Linked DNA regions of Tribolium castaneum. The protein of the gene in region 4 interacts with the protein of the main gene of each other region in a pairwise test. Links are inferred from orthologs where the notes say so. Each region holds a gene or a part of one and is shown on either strand. Other genes may lie near its edges. The genes, in order: ago, Fsn, FBXO11 and SkpA.

Region 1 (3,570 bases), on a different chromosome or scaffold from region 4:
TGTTTCTGAAAACGTTTAGTAGTTGAAATTATTGGGTTTGTCAAAGACATGAAATTTGATAGCAACATCAGTAGTATGCTTTTTAAAAGTCGTAGGTCTACAAACACGCGCACTCATACAATTTTTTGCAGTCTGTAATTACCTAGAAATGATGGTACTGGAGTTAGAATCGACATCAAAGTCCAACACTAGTAGTTTTGTTTCTTCTGTGCCGTTACGACTTCCAACCGCGCACACTAGTTTCGTGTCGTTGGCGCGAATCCGCCACACAACGCCTCCTGAGCCACCACTGTCCAAAGCCACCAGGTTTCTGATGAACTCGCCGGTGCGAACGTCCCATAATTTTACAGTTCCATCATCCGAGGAAGTTATCACAAAACGATTGTTGAATTGGAGGCAAGTTACGGCTGACTGATGTTTGTATGGTCCTGGAAAATGGAAAGTAACATCAAATCTACATTTGTTTATTACTCAATTTGCTTAATTCACTGCTATTTAATTACATATTTTAACACAACAGTATAAAATGAAATTAAAAGAACAGCTTAATAAAATATAATAAAATGGTTTAGTAGACAACCAACAATACAATGATAAAAATTGTTCTACAAGTATCAGGGCATGCTGCGAGTTTTTTTTTTTTTTTTTTTAATAATAAACATAGGAATATAATTACACTACACTATAACTGCATTTGCTTATTTTAATGATAATTAAGAGTATTTTGTAACAGTGATGTTACAAAAGAGGTGCAAGAATCTTACCTGAAAGGGTTTGTAGGCACTGACCGGTCACTATGTCCCAAACTTTAACGGTGGAATCGGCATTTCCGGACACTAAAATATTATTTCGTAATTCCATACCGGATGTTAGGGACTGGTGACCCATAAGCGTATGTTTGCAAGCTCCCGTCTCAACTTCCCACACTCGAATGCTCGTATCCAAAGAACCGCTGACCACATGAACGCCATCAAACTAGAAAATTAACAAAAAACAATTAAATTAAAGTAAAACAACTAATTATAATGAATGAAATGTTTCATTATGGCCCTCATTCAAAACTGTCATCATCTGATTCTGGAGTTCAACATATCTTAATATGGAACTCGACATAAACCTCAAACCTTTTACTACGTAATCATTGGACCCGTAAACAAAAATCTACAATAATATTACATACAATGTTGTTGTAATTTTAATAGTTATTTACATTATAAGTACGGTTGATGTTTTTTAATTTTTTTAAATTTTCGGATACAGATTTATCACCACAATCTAAAACAAAATACTTTCTTCTCAACACTTGATTAAGTTTAAATACACTCATTAATCATTTGTAAAAAAAATAAATTTTGAAAACGATTTTTTTTGTTTCTGTTTGCAATTTTTACGAAAACTATTAGTCGGAGAGCAATGTCCTTTTTTTTAAAAGATAGATAATTAACAGAGTTTTCCAACGATAATAAACTTCATAAGGTTATCTATAAATAAATAAATAAATGTTCCGGGTACCGAAAATTGACAAAAATTGCGACGAAAATTGAAAAAATCAAACATAAAAAATCGAATATTTGGACTTTTAACAACTTTAGTGGGTTGTTAAGACATGTAGAAGTCCATAAGAATTTGCTGGAGTTAGTTTAAAAAAAAATTTTTTTTCACCTCTTTGAAGGTAAGTGTATTTTACTCAGGAAATTGAGCAAAAAAATTGAAAATTTTAAATCTCGTGAAAAGTTGGTATAATACAGAAAATGAGCCGCTGAATTCAATGGAACAAACCGCATTGCTCTACGACTTTTTGATTTTGAGTTATGAATTTTTTTAATGAATAAAATTTTTCACAATGACAAATGGCTACCCTAAATTTAGGCAAAAAATTTTAAATTTTTAATTCTTGTGAAAAATCGATATAATATGTAAAATGAGCCGTAGAATTCAATCGAACAAACCGCAATGCTCTACGACTTTTAGTTTTTTTTTTATGAATTTTTTTAGTGAAAAACTTTGATCGCCTCTGTAGCCGGAACCGTTGCCCGTACCGGCTCGGGGTTTGGTCGAAAAAATAGATAAAATTAAGCGCTATCAGATGGTTTTTTGTTCGTTGCTCTAAGTTTTACAGTTTCCGAGAAAAACGCAAAAAAAGGTTTCCATTTTCACTTTTTTTCAATTTTTAACCGCCAATTACGGCGAAACTATTAGAGTTATCGAAAAACGGAAAAATCGAGGACAACCGGAATAAAAAACTCTACAAAATGGCATAAGACTCAAGGCGATATCTCGCAAAAAAATTTTCAATTTTCAAACGCCGATTACGGCCAAACTAAAAGAGCTAGGAGAAAACGCTTTTTTAGATCGAAAAGAGCACATCAAAATCTATAAGATAGAATAGGTTTCATTTAATTTTGAGACACTTTAAAAATTGACCGGTTTTAAGGGGGGGGGTGTTAACTTTTTTTTATTTTTTTTTATTTTCTCATTTACGGCTAAAATATTCTAAAAAGTGAAACTGTTTTGATCCATACCTATGCAAAATGATCCGGGGAATCGATTGGCATCAAGAAAATTGCCAAATTCCCAACAGTTTTTTAGTTATGAATTTTTTAAAATTTTACCAAATTTTGCATTTAGCAGCAATTTGCTCGAAAACTATTAGTCGGAGAACAATAATCTTTTTTGAAAAAAATAGATAATTTAAAGAGCTTTCCAACGATAATACACTTCATGGGGTTATCTCTAATAGTTCCGGAGCTATTGCTCGACAAATGTTCCGGGTACCCAAAATCAACAAAAATTGCGACGAAAATTGAAAAAATCAAACATCAAAAAATCGAACATTTGGACTTTTTGTGGACTTTTAACAACTTTTGTGGGTTGTTAAGACATGTAGAAGTCCATAAAAATTTGCTGGAGTTAGTTAAAAAAAAATATTTTTTTCACCTCTTGAGGTACTCAGGAAATTTGAGCAAAAAAATTGAAAATTTTAAATTGCGTGAAAAATTAGTATAATAGAGAAAAAAAGCCGCTGAATCCAATGGAATAAACCGCACTGCTCTACGACTTTTAGTTTTCGAGTTATGAATTTTCTTAATAAATAAAATTTTTCATTATGACAAATGGCTACCCTAAATTTAGGCAAAAAGTTTTAAATTTTTAATTCTTGTAAAAAATCGATATAATATGTAAAATGAGCCGTAGAATTCAATCGAACAAACCGCAATGCTCTACGACTTTTAGTTTTTTTTTAATGAATTTTTTAGTGAAAAACTTTGATCGCCTCTGTAGCCAGAACCGTTGCCCGGAGCGGCTCCGGGTTTGGTCGAAAAAATAGATAAAATTAAGCGCTATCAGATGGTTTTTTGTTCGTTGCTCTAAGTCTTACAGTTTCCGAGAAAAACGCAAAAAAAGGTTTCCATTTTCACTTTTTTTCAATTTTCAATCGCCAATTACGGCGAAACTATTAAAGATATCGAGAAACGAAAAAATGGAGGATAACCGGAATAAAAATGTCATGGGACTCAAGGCGATATCTCAATTTTTCAATTTTCAATCGCCGATTACGGCCAAACTAAA
Region 2 (4,048 bases), on a different chromosome or scaffold from region 4:
ACAATGGCTTATTTTTCGAGACTTGTACACGACTACATTGACTGCCAACGTAAAAAATTAATCAAAAATGTAGTCATTCTACAAAATTGGCACCACCAAGGCCGGATCGAGGGTAAAAAGTTAAAACAATTAGTAACTTACTGATAAATAATATTTCTTCAGAAGACTGTGTTTAAATAAGCAACAATATCACTGTTTTTGAACCAAAAAAGTATCACTTAAACGCTAAAATACGCAAAAATAATGCATTTTTAACCCAATCAGGAATTTTTGTGTAACAATTTCATGTCAAACGTACTTAAAAAAGTTCGAAAATTGCAAAAATTGCTCCACATTTAAATCACTCGCGTGATATTTCCGTTCATTTGTAACAAAATGTGTTAAACTATTGGTAAAAGGCTCAATTTTTTTTTTTTCGATAAAACAATTTATTTTTTTATTTTGTAATTTTTTGGTCAACCCTTGTCTAAAAATATCCTGAACTTTCGATGAATTTGTTCCTAAAAATAAATAAAGTCTCGATCCGGTCCTGGAGGTCATTGCTACTATAAAATTACCTCCGTTTTTTCAATAAAAATGTTTGTTCTACTTTGCATAAAAACATATCTGGGGTCAAACGATCACTAAAAACACCATTATGCATTCATATGCAAATTTCGATACTCATTAAACAGATAGATATCAAACCACGTCATTACAATTTTTAATAATTACGACTTTTTTCATTGTCTTTTATTTCAGCTGCGTAACTCCTGTATTTTGGCAGTGTTATTAAAATTTGTTACTGGGAGGCAATTTTATAGCAGTAATGATGAAAATATTGCAACAAAAAATTGCAAGAAAGCACCCAATTTGAATTGATTCCCTAAAAGTCTACTCACTCAATGTTTCTGTTTCAGTGTTAAAAAAGTGGCAATCAGGTCACGGAATATGGCAAAATGTTTATTTACTTAGTGCATTTGATGTAAAAAGTGGTAGCATCTAAAAAATAAATAAAACGTATTAAAACGAAATCAATTCCTCCTTGTGGACTGTTATTTAGTTAAGTTTGTGACAACATATACTTCAAATGCACCTCTCTTAGTCTACTGTTATAAAAATTCTACATCTACCATTGTTTAAATTGTCCTACATACTCATTTTTAATGGAAGTATGACTGACTGAAGTAAAATGTAATTATCACATGGGCAAACCTGCTGTCCTGAATGAGCCATCTTGAAGCATCCAACCCCTTTTTTCAGTTAATTAACAGACTAACGTCAACTTCCAGCTGTGTTAGCCATCTAAAGGTGGTCCGAGATACACCATTGAAACTTCAGTGTTTCCGTAAACGGCAGAAACTGTTGGATACAATTTTTTATCTGGCAATCCTGAAACACCTCATGAAACACCATCTCGCTCCAAAAAGCGCTTTACCTCTAAAGGCCACTCCCAAAAACTCGTAGTTTTTTTCAAAAGATAGCGTGTTGTCATCACAATCTAAAATCACCCGAATTCGCTCCCCAACCTGCAAAACCCAACTAAGACAAAAACTAAAGTCTGTTTTTTATTTAAACGGAAAACCAACCGCAAAACAACAAATAGCGTCAAAAAATTATAAGTTTTAAAAATTAAAAAGTTGGTCACTTTCTGTTATGCAAGATTAATCTTATTTCAAATTTTAACCAAGAGAAGTAAAGTGTCGAACTTACAAATAGAACTTATACAACACGTACGTACTAATAATGTTAGCAAAAAAGCACTGTTTCTATTTTTTATTAATTTTTAAAACTAAAGGTGGAAAACCATTTTTTTTAATTTTTTGAAATCCCCAAACTAATTTAAAAAAACTAGGTAAAAAGGTATCCTAAAGAGCACGAAAAAAAGCTTGCCATTAAAAAAATATTATGCCCTCATTCTTTTTGGGGACACTCCATATAATCAAAAATATTATCCTAAAATACGTCCTAGATTATAAATAACGTCTACAAAATATCAAAACTTTAACTTTACTAATATGAATTACAATAACATCTTCTGAAATAAACCTGAGTATTTCTAAAATACAGTTGAAAAAGGTGTAGTTTTGGCAAAAGAACTTGCCATTTCCAGTCAAAATAAATAATAAAAAAATTACATAATATAGAGTCTTGGACTTGGTAATTTCCGTTTAAATAAAGAACAGACTGTAGGTGGACCAGCGAACTTACTTGATATTTAGGGGCATTGTTAAGTAGCGGGTAATTGCCTTGAGCATCTCCATTGTGCAGTAAATGATTATCAACTAAGTTCCAGCCCCAACTCTGGTCGTCCGAGCCCAGCAGGGCCACGTAACCGTGACACTGCAGAGGTGCGTCTTTTGTGGCAATTCCTATGACGGCGACCGTCCCCAAGGGCCCTTCCCAGATCACCTCCCAAGCGTGTCTCCCATGTCTAAATCCGATTTTACCTCTCGAAGCGTCCGTGCTTTGAGCTACGGGATTTCGGTGTAACGTGAACCCATTAGGCTTAATATAAATATTTCTAGAGCAGTCGTTCGGATTCCAGGCGTGGTAAAACGCCCGCAATTTCGCTTTATACGTAGGAACTGAAGACAACAAATCTGACTTTAGTGCTTCTTCGGCTAGTTTCCGAATACAGTGCAGCCTCCAAACGTCGTTATTTTCATCATTTAAAAAACTATACCATCTCTTACACACTAAAGAACAGTTCCTCAAATCATGCAGAGACAAATATGAAAAAATTACTTCCAACACATTATCGGGCAATGTTGATGCTACAGCGGCATCCATTTTTGAACGGACCAACCCGTCTGACACTTGACACTTGACAGCGATACCAACCGCTCGAACCGACTGATTGCGATTTCAATAAAATCCGCTTAAATTATTTATAAACACGCGAAATTTGCATTCACGACGTCCAATAACGCGGTTTATTGAGGACGCGAACTGATCTAGAAAAATTCACGTATATAATAGAGGTGGTGTTCAACAAAAAATTAGCGACAGAACAGGACATCTCTAGAAACAGACATCGGCAGAATCAGTCAAATCTAAAAAATCATAAACAGAAGCATTCAAAACACTTTTCGAGTCGAAGTATTGGTTTAGAATCGACACCCAGGACACATTTTCATTTTCAGAAATGTATTTATTTTTACATAATTTTTGTATTTAGCAACAATTTTCATTGTTGTTTTAAAATGTTTAAATTTTCGTTTCTACTAAAATTGATTCGGCACTTTTATTCCTCTGAAGCCGCTTTAGCTTTTCAATAAACTGTTCTTTATATGTTACATGTTCGACAAATCTATATTTCATATGCAATATAAGAATACAAAAAAATAGTTTTACGGCTGTAAAAAACAATCAGCAATAAACATATTTATAAATACAGGGTGTCCGTTTGTCGTTTTTATTTCTGATTTCAACGATGTATCACAAAATATGATCAAATATTACATGCTGATCAAAATGGAGAAAAAGCATTTTTACGAAAATTGCTGATCATTATGTGATACATCGAATTGTTAGCAGAAATAAAAAAACTTTTAAAAAATGCAAGTATCAAATATGGCTAAAGTTGAGTGTCGTAACTCTAACATCAAGAACGTCTTGAAAAAGGCAATGACAGATTTGGATTTAAAAAAAAAATCCCCAAAAAAATATTCTACTTAAAAACGTGTATTTTTTTGGTTTTTGCTTTAAAAAATAAAAACAAAAATTACAAAATATTGATGGGGTCAATTCATAACGGTTTGCGTGTGGGTATGAGCTTCTTTCCTTTGCTATTCATGCTATGATGACTAAAAATTCAGTCAGAAGAGTATGAACAATTAGTATTAAGATCTATAAGAAGATAACAGGTCGAAAAACTACATTACATTTACCATATCCACACGCATACCGTCGTGAATTGACCCATTACAACAAATTTTGAGAGAAAATGTGATGTTGGCATTTTTATGGTTTCGAAACAGGTAATAAATAGTATTTTATAATTATTCTTTTACATTTGTGTTTACCGTATTTACTGACTATTTCGTCATTATAGTGCAAAATAGTA
Region 3 (4,289 bases), on a different chromosome or scaffold from region 4:
ATCATTCCTTTTCAAAAAAGGTTCATAAAGTCACCTATGAAAGTTAGACGTAATGTGCCGCTTTATATAAATAGTGAATGTCGTCAAAGTGACATATCCGTCAAACTTTTCTCAAACGTGATGTCATTATCAATTTCCACTCAAGCTTACGCTTGAATCGGACATATTGTACGGACGAATAGCTATAAATTATTCATACACTTCAAAATAACAATAATGTAATTTATACTTTCAATGAAAGATCTAATTATTAATAACTATTTTGCATTTTTATCAACCTTACTTAAAAAATAATTTGGTAAAATGCGACTTTGGCATTTACGTAGTTTTGAAACACCTAATATGTAAACGCCAACGTCGCATTTCCTATCTAAATTTGTTGTTATAAAGTATTTATGCAAAATTAGTAGTTAATGTAATTATACTTTCAATGAGAGATCTAATCACTATAACTATTTTACATTTTTATCAACCTTATTTTAAAAAAATAAGTTGGGGAAATGCGACGTTGACGTTTACATAGTTACATAGTTTGTAAACAACTAAAACTATTTGAAAGCTTATTATTTGATCTCTTCAGCTTGATTTAGTTAATCAGCGTTTTCAAACAAGTTAAAAAAATGTTAAAGTTTACTCTAATTATAACTTCAAATGATCACATAATATTAACATGAACCGTACACATTTTTTTGCATAAAATAAAATCCTTTGAATGTATCCAGATCCACTGAACAATTCTGCCGCGTTAGGGTCGACTGTAGATTATAACATACAACAACTATAAGCTGCAAAATTTGCATTGACCGAACATGCCCCATGTCCGAACGTACCCCGCACTCCCCTACTTGGGAATACATTTTGCTTGTCTTTTGTTATTTGAAGGCTCAGGTAACACACCTGGACTTTATCCTTTTATGCAATATGTGAAAATTATTTCAACTGTATAAACGGTTCAAAATATGAAAAAAAAATTTTCCCATGATAAAAAAATTCGTATTTTTAATATATTACTAATTACATTGAATAAACAAGTTAATCATTTCTTGTATTTTTTGTGTAATAAAAAGAGTAACGTAGTGACGTTTATTGGTCTTGTTCTTTTCTTTTCCTCCGCCATCCGACATTGAATTTGTCGTAGACTATACCGTAACGGGGAGCGGCGGGAGGTGCGCGGTGCGGAGGGCATCCGTCGCAAGCCTACTTGATTTTGTTCATGTTGTGTGAAAAGGTGTTTTTCGTGTCCTTATCCTGAAAGGTGAATGGATTACCTGTTGTGCGGCGACTTCCAGACGTGTAAACTGGCGACATAAGTCACCGACATCAGCAAGCATAGCCCGATGGAACGAAAACAATCAAAAATTCCATAGAAATCCTGCACCATTCTGACATTTTAACGGTCACGTGACGTCAAACCAGCCCGGTGATTGGTTGGTCCGGTTCCGTGGTTGTCGGAACGGTAGCGAATATGGCCGCCAGTGCTAGTTCCAGTGTCTCCTTTGTTTAGAGATTGGTTTTGGTGCTAGTGCTAGAAAAAATGCCGAGCGCCTCTTTCACGGCCTCCAGGTCGTACGTAAGGAGGTCCCGCAGGAAGGGCGCTAACAGGATCCCGACTCCTTCCAGGACCACGTCTGGTAAGTGTAGCTGCTGCGACCCGAATCCCCCTATTGTCACCTTCGAGAGAATGCGAAAACAGTTATTTGGGGCCCCAAATATCGATTTTAGTTCATCAAAGACTCTTGTGGCGGACGCATCTGCGTAAAAATAACAGGGCTGCCCACATCGCAACAACCCAAATAAGTCCAGATAACGATTTTTATCGTCGCGAAATATTTGTAAACATGGCAGGCAGCCCCACGCAGGGGCTCCACCTTACGCTCACTCACACCATATTTCATACATCCCTCAATATCGATTTCCATCAAGTGGCTAAATTGCCTTTTAATTGACATAAAAACGACCGAATTAACTGCACTAGGACCCCTCAATGTAAATACAAAACGTAATTAATTCAGTTGCAAGGTTTTATTTTTCGACTGTTGCTAAACCCGGTTAGATCATCACGTTTCAGCTTCAGTAAATCGGTATCCTTCATTTTGTTGGAAATTTTCTTTGTGGCATTTGGCAGATGAGTTTAATAATCTTTAGCCCGAATAACAGCACTGAAAGCGTGGTTTTGGTTGCTACTAAAAATACTTGTAAGCAAACATACGGTCGAAAACAAGTTAAACATAGCCAAAGCTGAAAAATTTTTCATTTCGCCAACAAGCAATGAATAATTGTTGAAATTTGTTTCGCAGCAGAGCCATGCGAACCTTCCTGTCCTGTACCTAACCAAAACATTCCAGCACCTACGGCGGCCGCTCCGGGCTCTGGGGGGCCTTCAGCAATGGCCCCTGGGACCAGCGGCGGCGCCATTCCAGCCCATCACTCTCCTTACGACCTTCGACGTAAGTCTCCGTCCCATCACGACGGGCCGGGGCCCAGCACCAGCGCCGCGACGGCAGGATCGCCCACTTCCCCGGCGACTCCGACGGCACCAGCACAAGGGTACACTTCCGCCATGCTTCCGGCGAGGAAACGTCCAAGACGGACTTGTTCCGCTTCGTACGAGAGTACGATCACAATTTTCCGAAAAAAATACCATTCTCAAAACGAGCTTTTGCAGATTGTACAAACACAGCCGCTCATTATCTCCAATACGAGCTGCCGGACGAAGTTTTGCTCACGATATTCAATTATTTACTCGAACAAGATTTGTGTCGTGTGAGTCAAGTGTGTAAACGGTTTCAGGCCATTGCGAATGATACCGAGATTTGGTAATAATTTGACCATTTGCTGTGAAATGCAACTTGATTGATTTTTTTTAGGAAACGCCTATATCAGAGTGTCTATGAATACGATTTGCCCTTGTTTAATCCGGCACCTTGTGTTTTCCAATTTATCAGTCCGGAGGAGTCTGATTTGGCTAATCCATGGAAGGAGTCTTTCCGTCAGTTGTATCGCGGGATACACGTTCGACCAGGTTATCAAGACTTGACGTTCAAAGGACGCAATCTTGTGTACTTTAATACGATACAAGCGGCTTTAGATTATGCCGATGAACGTAGTGGTAGTAATAGTACGAGCGGTTGTCTCTTGGTCAATAATAATCACACTGAGGGTACCACTCAAGGCGCACTCATATTTCTACATGCCGGTACTTATCGTGGAGAGTTCCTCGTAATCGACGACTCAGACATTGCTCTTATAGGTTTGTAAAATATTACTTACTAAAATGTCTTTATTGGCTATTTAACTTTACAATCCTTGAAATTATTTGATATTCTACCTTACGTATACTTACACTTCTTTATTTTTTTTCAATTTTCTTCTTGCACCTTATCTTTCTCTCCCAGGTATGCTAAGAATAATGCAAGCTTTAACGCACAACCTTGACTTACGTCTTTAATTGTTCAAAAACATTTGCTCGTCTCTTGATTAATCGTTTCTTCAAAATTTTCTCTATTTTTTTAACTTTCTAATTTTCAGTTCTTCTTTTGTAAGTTCGTTTATTTCCTGTAATGGTTCGACACTTTTGATCTCACTACAACTGTTTTGACTTCCCTTTAGTACTTCCATAAAGTGATCGTTCCACTTTTCCATACTTATATTTTCATTTATTTTGTCTTTACTTTTGCTTTCTTTATTTGTAAGATTCCACACCTCCAACTCTGTCCTAATTTCTTTTATTTTGTATACTTTTTTTTCTTCACACTTGTACTGTTTTCTTACTTCGGTCTACAAAATATTACTGTCGTACTTGTTACTTATCGAATTTTTTTGAAGGTGCGGCACCTGGGAACGTGGCCGAATCCGTGATACTAGAACGAGAATCCGAATCGACGGTGATGTTCGTCGAAGGTGCAAAAAACGCCTACTGTGGCCATCTTACGTTGAAATTTTCACCTGATGTCACATCTACAGTACCTCACCATAAACATTATTGTCTCGAAGTTGGAGAAAATTGTAGTCCGACTATAGATCATTGCATTATACGAAGCACATCAGTTGGTAAGTCTTGCGTTCAATTTAAAGTCAAAGTTTTGTACATTTTTTTTGTATTGATTAGTTGGTGCGGCCGTTTGTGTGAGTGGTGCCGGCGCAAATCCCGTCATACGTCATTGTGATATAAGTGATTGTGAAAATGTCGGCTTGTACGTCACCGATTTTGCCCAAGGAACGTATGAAGATAACGAGATCAGTCGGAATGCATTGGCTGGTATTTGGGTGAAAAATAACGCGAACCCGAT
Region 4 (2,465 bases):
AGTTACGTGCCCAAAATGACACCTTAACGTCATAATCTCAATTTGCACACTACAAATTGAATTTCCTTAATCCTAACACAATTCCAGTTTAATGAGCCGTGATGATGATTGTGACTGCGACGTTTTGGAAACGAAACAGAAGCTCAAACACATCAAATGCAAAATTATTAAATTAATGAATGAACAACTATCCAAGTCGGAAAATTTCGTGGAGGATGAAATCAAGCGAAATGGGTGTTTTACCCGAGGGTTAGTTGTGGTTAAAAAGCTGCCAATTAATTGCGAGTTGTAGGTGTTGGTGGTCCTTGTGTTCCTCCAGGACGTGGCTGTACTTTTTAGGGTTTTTAACGATGATATTTGTAGCGGTTTTAATGGGGGCGTTTATGGGGGCCCGCATTTGCGGGAACGAGGCGGGGTCTTGCGATGATTATGGCGTATTTTAACACTTGTATACTATATTTTATCCGACACCTATTATAATTGGTTAAGGTGCAAATAAACAACCAGTTGGGTCGAAATGGCGTTTGATTTAAATAATCATATTACAATAAAACAATGAACGCAATTTTGGAAATAATCTTAAATAAAAAAAATACGAGTTTACTTCTCCTCACACCATTCGTTCTCCTTGCGCACTTGCTCCTCCTCGGAGGCTGTGAAGTCGTTCTTGATGTTGAAAGTCTTGCGGATCTCCTCGGGGGCCTTGCCCTTGATCATGTTGGCGACTGTCTTGCAAGTCACATCGAGCAGCCCCTTGATGTCCAGGTAATTCGCCGCCAGGATCAGCTCAAACAAAGTGCCTTGGTCCACTTTGAGAAAATCGGCGTCCCATGACGAAATATCATCCGTGCGTTTCTCCTTGTTCTCGTCGTCTTCGGGCGGTGGAGGATCATCTTTGTGATAAGTGGACCACTGGATAACTTTCTTCAAAATCGCCGAATTGACATTGGGGAGAGGCACCACTTCCTCTTCCTCCTCGTCCATCCCCAGGTCCTCCAGCATGGTCTTGATGGTCACTGAACATTTCGCGATCTCCACGTCCACCTCGAACGTTTCACCGTCGGAGGAACGCAGTTTAATATTCGGCATTTTTCACGGTTTTTCTTCGATGACAGAATATGACAATAGACGGCAATAATGGTGGATGACAGGTGTAACGCGCAAGCGTCCCCACACGGGCGCCAGATTCGAACCAATTGTTATAAACAAATTAATTCAAAACGAGTTATTGCAGCAAATACGCAATGACGCGGCAAAATTTTCATCAAAACACGTAGCGCGTTATTTGCCTCGGATAATGTAATATGGGAAGAGCCGCAATATAAAGCTTAATTGTGCGTTAAAATTGTTGCACTTGGTTTGCGCAAGACCCCGCTCTTGATTTAAAAGAGGTGGCCCAAGAATTTGGGAGCCAGATTGTCCGTCTTCACCGCCTGTCTCCAAGCCAAACAATGGTAAGTCTGTCTGAGTCGTCTTTTTTGATTTTCTCCTTATCACCCTCTTTCTTACACATTATTTTGAAATTTTTGCGATAACACTCTTTATTGCATAAAAACAACTAATTGTAACAATCTGACGCAACAATTGACCGAATCTTTATTACTTGAAAACTTCCAATTCTTATCTAACTTGACTTCTCAAGTGTTTTGGAGCAAAACACAAACAAATTGTTATCTGATTTTTAGGGTTCCACAACAATGAAAAAGTCCATTACGGACCACCGAATCACTTTGTTGTTATTCGTCAGCATTATTTTCCTATCTATTGAAATTACCCACGGGGCTTTGGTCAAAAACCCCAACTTGCTGAAAAAAAATCATTGCAGGTACTAATTACATAATATCAGGTTTATTTAATTAATTAATTATTTAAGGACACACATTTTTTCTCCCGTGTGCCGCGGGCAGCAAAAGCGAGACATTTTAAGCCGTCTCAGTGACGAGTACAGGTAGTCATTAAAACAATTAAAGTGCAAAAGTTTGATTCATTTGTTAGGGTGCCAGCCCTGGATTCCGATTTTTCGGGGATTGACCGGTCCCGCGATTTCCCTACAATCCTTAACAGTCCGAGTCTTTTCGGGGAACTACTGAAAAAAGCCATAGAATCGTCCCCCGAGTTCGATCCCGAAAATAGCAATTATCTGAAGTGAGGAGAATAATAAAAGACAGGCCGGACAGTATTACCCCAGTATTCCTATTTATTTATTTATTGGATAAAAATAAAATATAAAAACTATGTTCGAGTTTTATTTCTAATCAGAAAATTTGGTGGAGGAATCTTTTGGAATACTCGTAAGTTGCAAAAAGAGTGGCAGTGGATGGAATAGTCCGAACTAACGTTGGAGTCAACCCGTTATAAAGCTGTCTGAAGCCTTCCCGCCTCGATATTTGCAAAATCATTGCAACCATATTCATTTTACTATTAGTGACTTGAATCCGACTTTTGGCCACATCGACTGGATAAGT

The links.
Region 1: the proteins of SkpA (region 4) and ago interact in binary tests that used the Caenorhabditis elegans proteins (3 or more experiments, as listed by UniProt). The link is inferred for Tribolium castaneum from reciprocal best matches to the Caenorhabditis elegans genes skr-1 and sel-10.
Region 2: the proteins of SkpA (region 4) and Fsn interact in binary tests that used the Caenorhabditis elegans proteins (3 or more experiments, as listed by UniProt). The link is inferred for Tribolium castaneum from reciprocal best matches to the Caenorhabditis elegans genes skr-1 and fsn-1.
Region 3: the proteins of SkpA (region 4) and FBXO11 interact in binary tests that used the Caenorhabditis elegans proteins (3 or more experiments, as listed by UniProt). The link is inferred for Tribolium castaneum from reciprocal best matches to the Caenorhabditis elegans genes skr-1 and dre-1.

Annotation. Positions count from the first base shown.
Region 1 is NC_087394.1:36,172,876-36,176,445, forward strand, and holds part of ago (archipelago), read right to left. Parts: intron 1,817-3,570; exon of another isoform or gene 1,211-1,816; intron 1,162-1,210; exon of another isoform or gene 976-1,161; coding exon 765-975; intron 429-764; coding exon 143-428; intron 1-142. UniProt on the Caenorhabditis elegans protein: Probable substrate recognition component of SCF (SKP1-CUL-F-box protein) E3 ubiquitin-protein ligase complex, which mediates the ubiquitination and subsequent proteasomal degradation of target proteins.
Region 2 is NC_087398.1:7,905,136-7,909,183, forward strand, and holds the start of Fsn (F-box/SPRY domain-containing protein 1), read right to left. Parts: upstream 2,856-4,048; 5' UTR 2,773-2,855; coding exon 2,191-2,772; intron 1,522-2,190; exon of another isoform or gene 1,509-1,521; coding exon 1,418-1,508; intron 1,372-1,417; coding exon 1,277-1,371; 3' UTR 1-1,276. UniProt on the Caenorhabditis elegans protein: Component of a SCF (SKP1-CUL1-F-box protein) E3 ubiquitin ligase complex which is required for the restriction and/or maturation of synapses in GABAergic neuromuscular junction (NMJ) presynaptic neurons.
Region 3 is NC_087396.1:9,595,732-9,600,020, forward strand, and holds the start of FBXO11 (F-box only protein 11), read left to right. Parts: upstream 1-1,489; 5' UTR 1,490-1,534; coding exon 1,535-1,631; intron 1,632-2,083; exon of another isoform or gene 2,084-2,125; coding exon of another isoform or gene 2,126-2,195; intron 2,196-2,297; coding exon 2,298-2,612; intron 2,613-2,665; coding exon 2,666-2,816; intron 2,817-2,867; coding exon 2,868-3,250; intron 3,251-3,825; coding exon 3,826-4,050; intron 4,051-4,108; coding exon 4,109-4,289. Other genes in the region: Sras (CAAX prenyl protease 2), read right to left, coding at 1,269-1,381. UniProt on the Caenorhabditis elegans protein: Substrate recognition component of a SCF (SKP1-CUL1-F-box protein) E3 ubiquitin-protein ligase complex which mediates the ubiquitination and subsequent proteasomal degradation of target proteins including blmp-1.
Region 4 is NC_087402.1:1,039,232-1,041,696, forward strand, and holds SkpA (S-phase kinase-associated protein 1), read right to left. Parts: upstream 1,168-2,465; 5' UTR 1,090-1,167; coding exon 601-1,089; 3' UTR 508-600; downstream 1-507. Other genes in the region: uncharacterized protein LOC103312555, read left to right, coding at 1,452-1,454, 1,686-1,825, 1,874-1,948, 1,996-2,149; mitochondrial ornithine transporter 1, read right to left, coding at 2,256-2,465. UniProt on the Caenorhabditis elegans protein: Probable essential component of SCF (SKP1-CUL1-F-box protein) E3 ubiquitin-protein ligase complexes, which mediate the ubiquitination and subsequent proteasomal degradation of target proteins.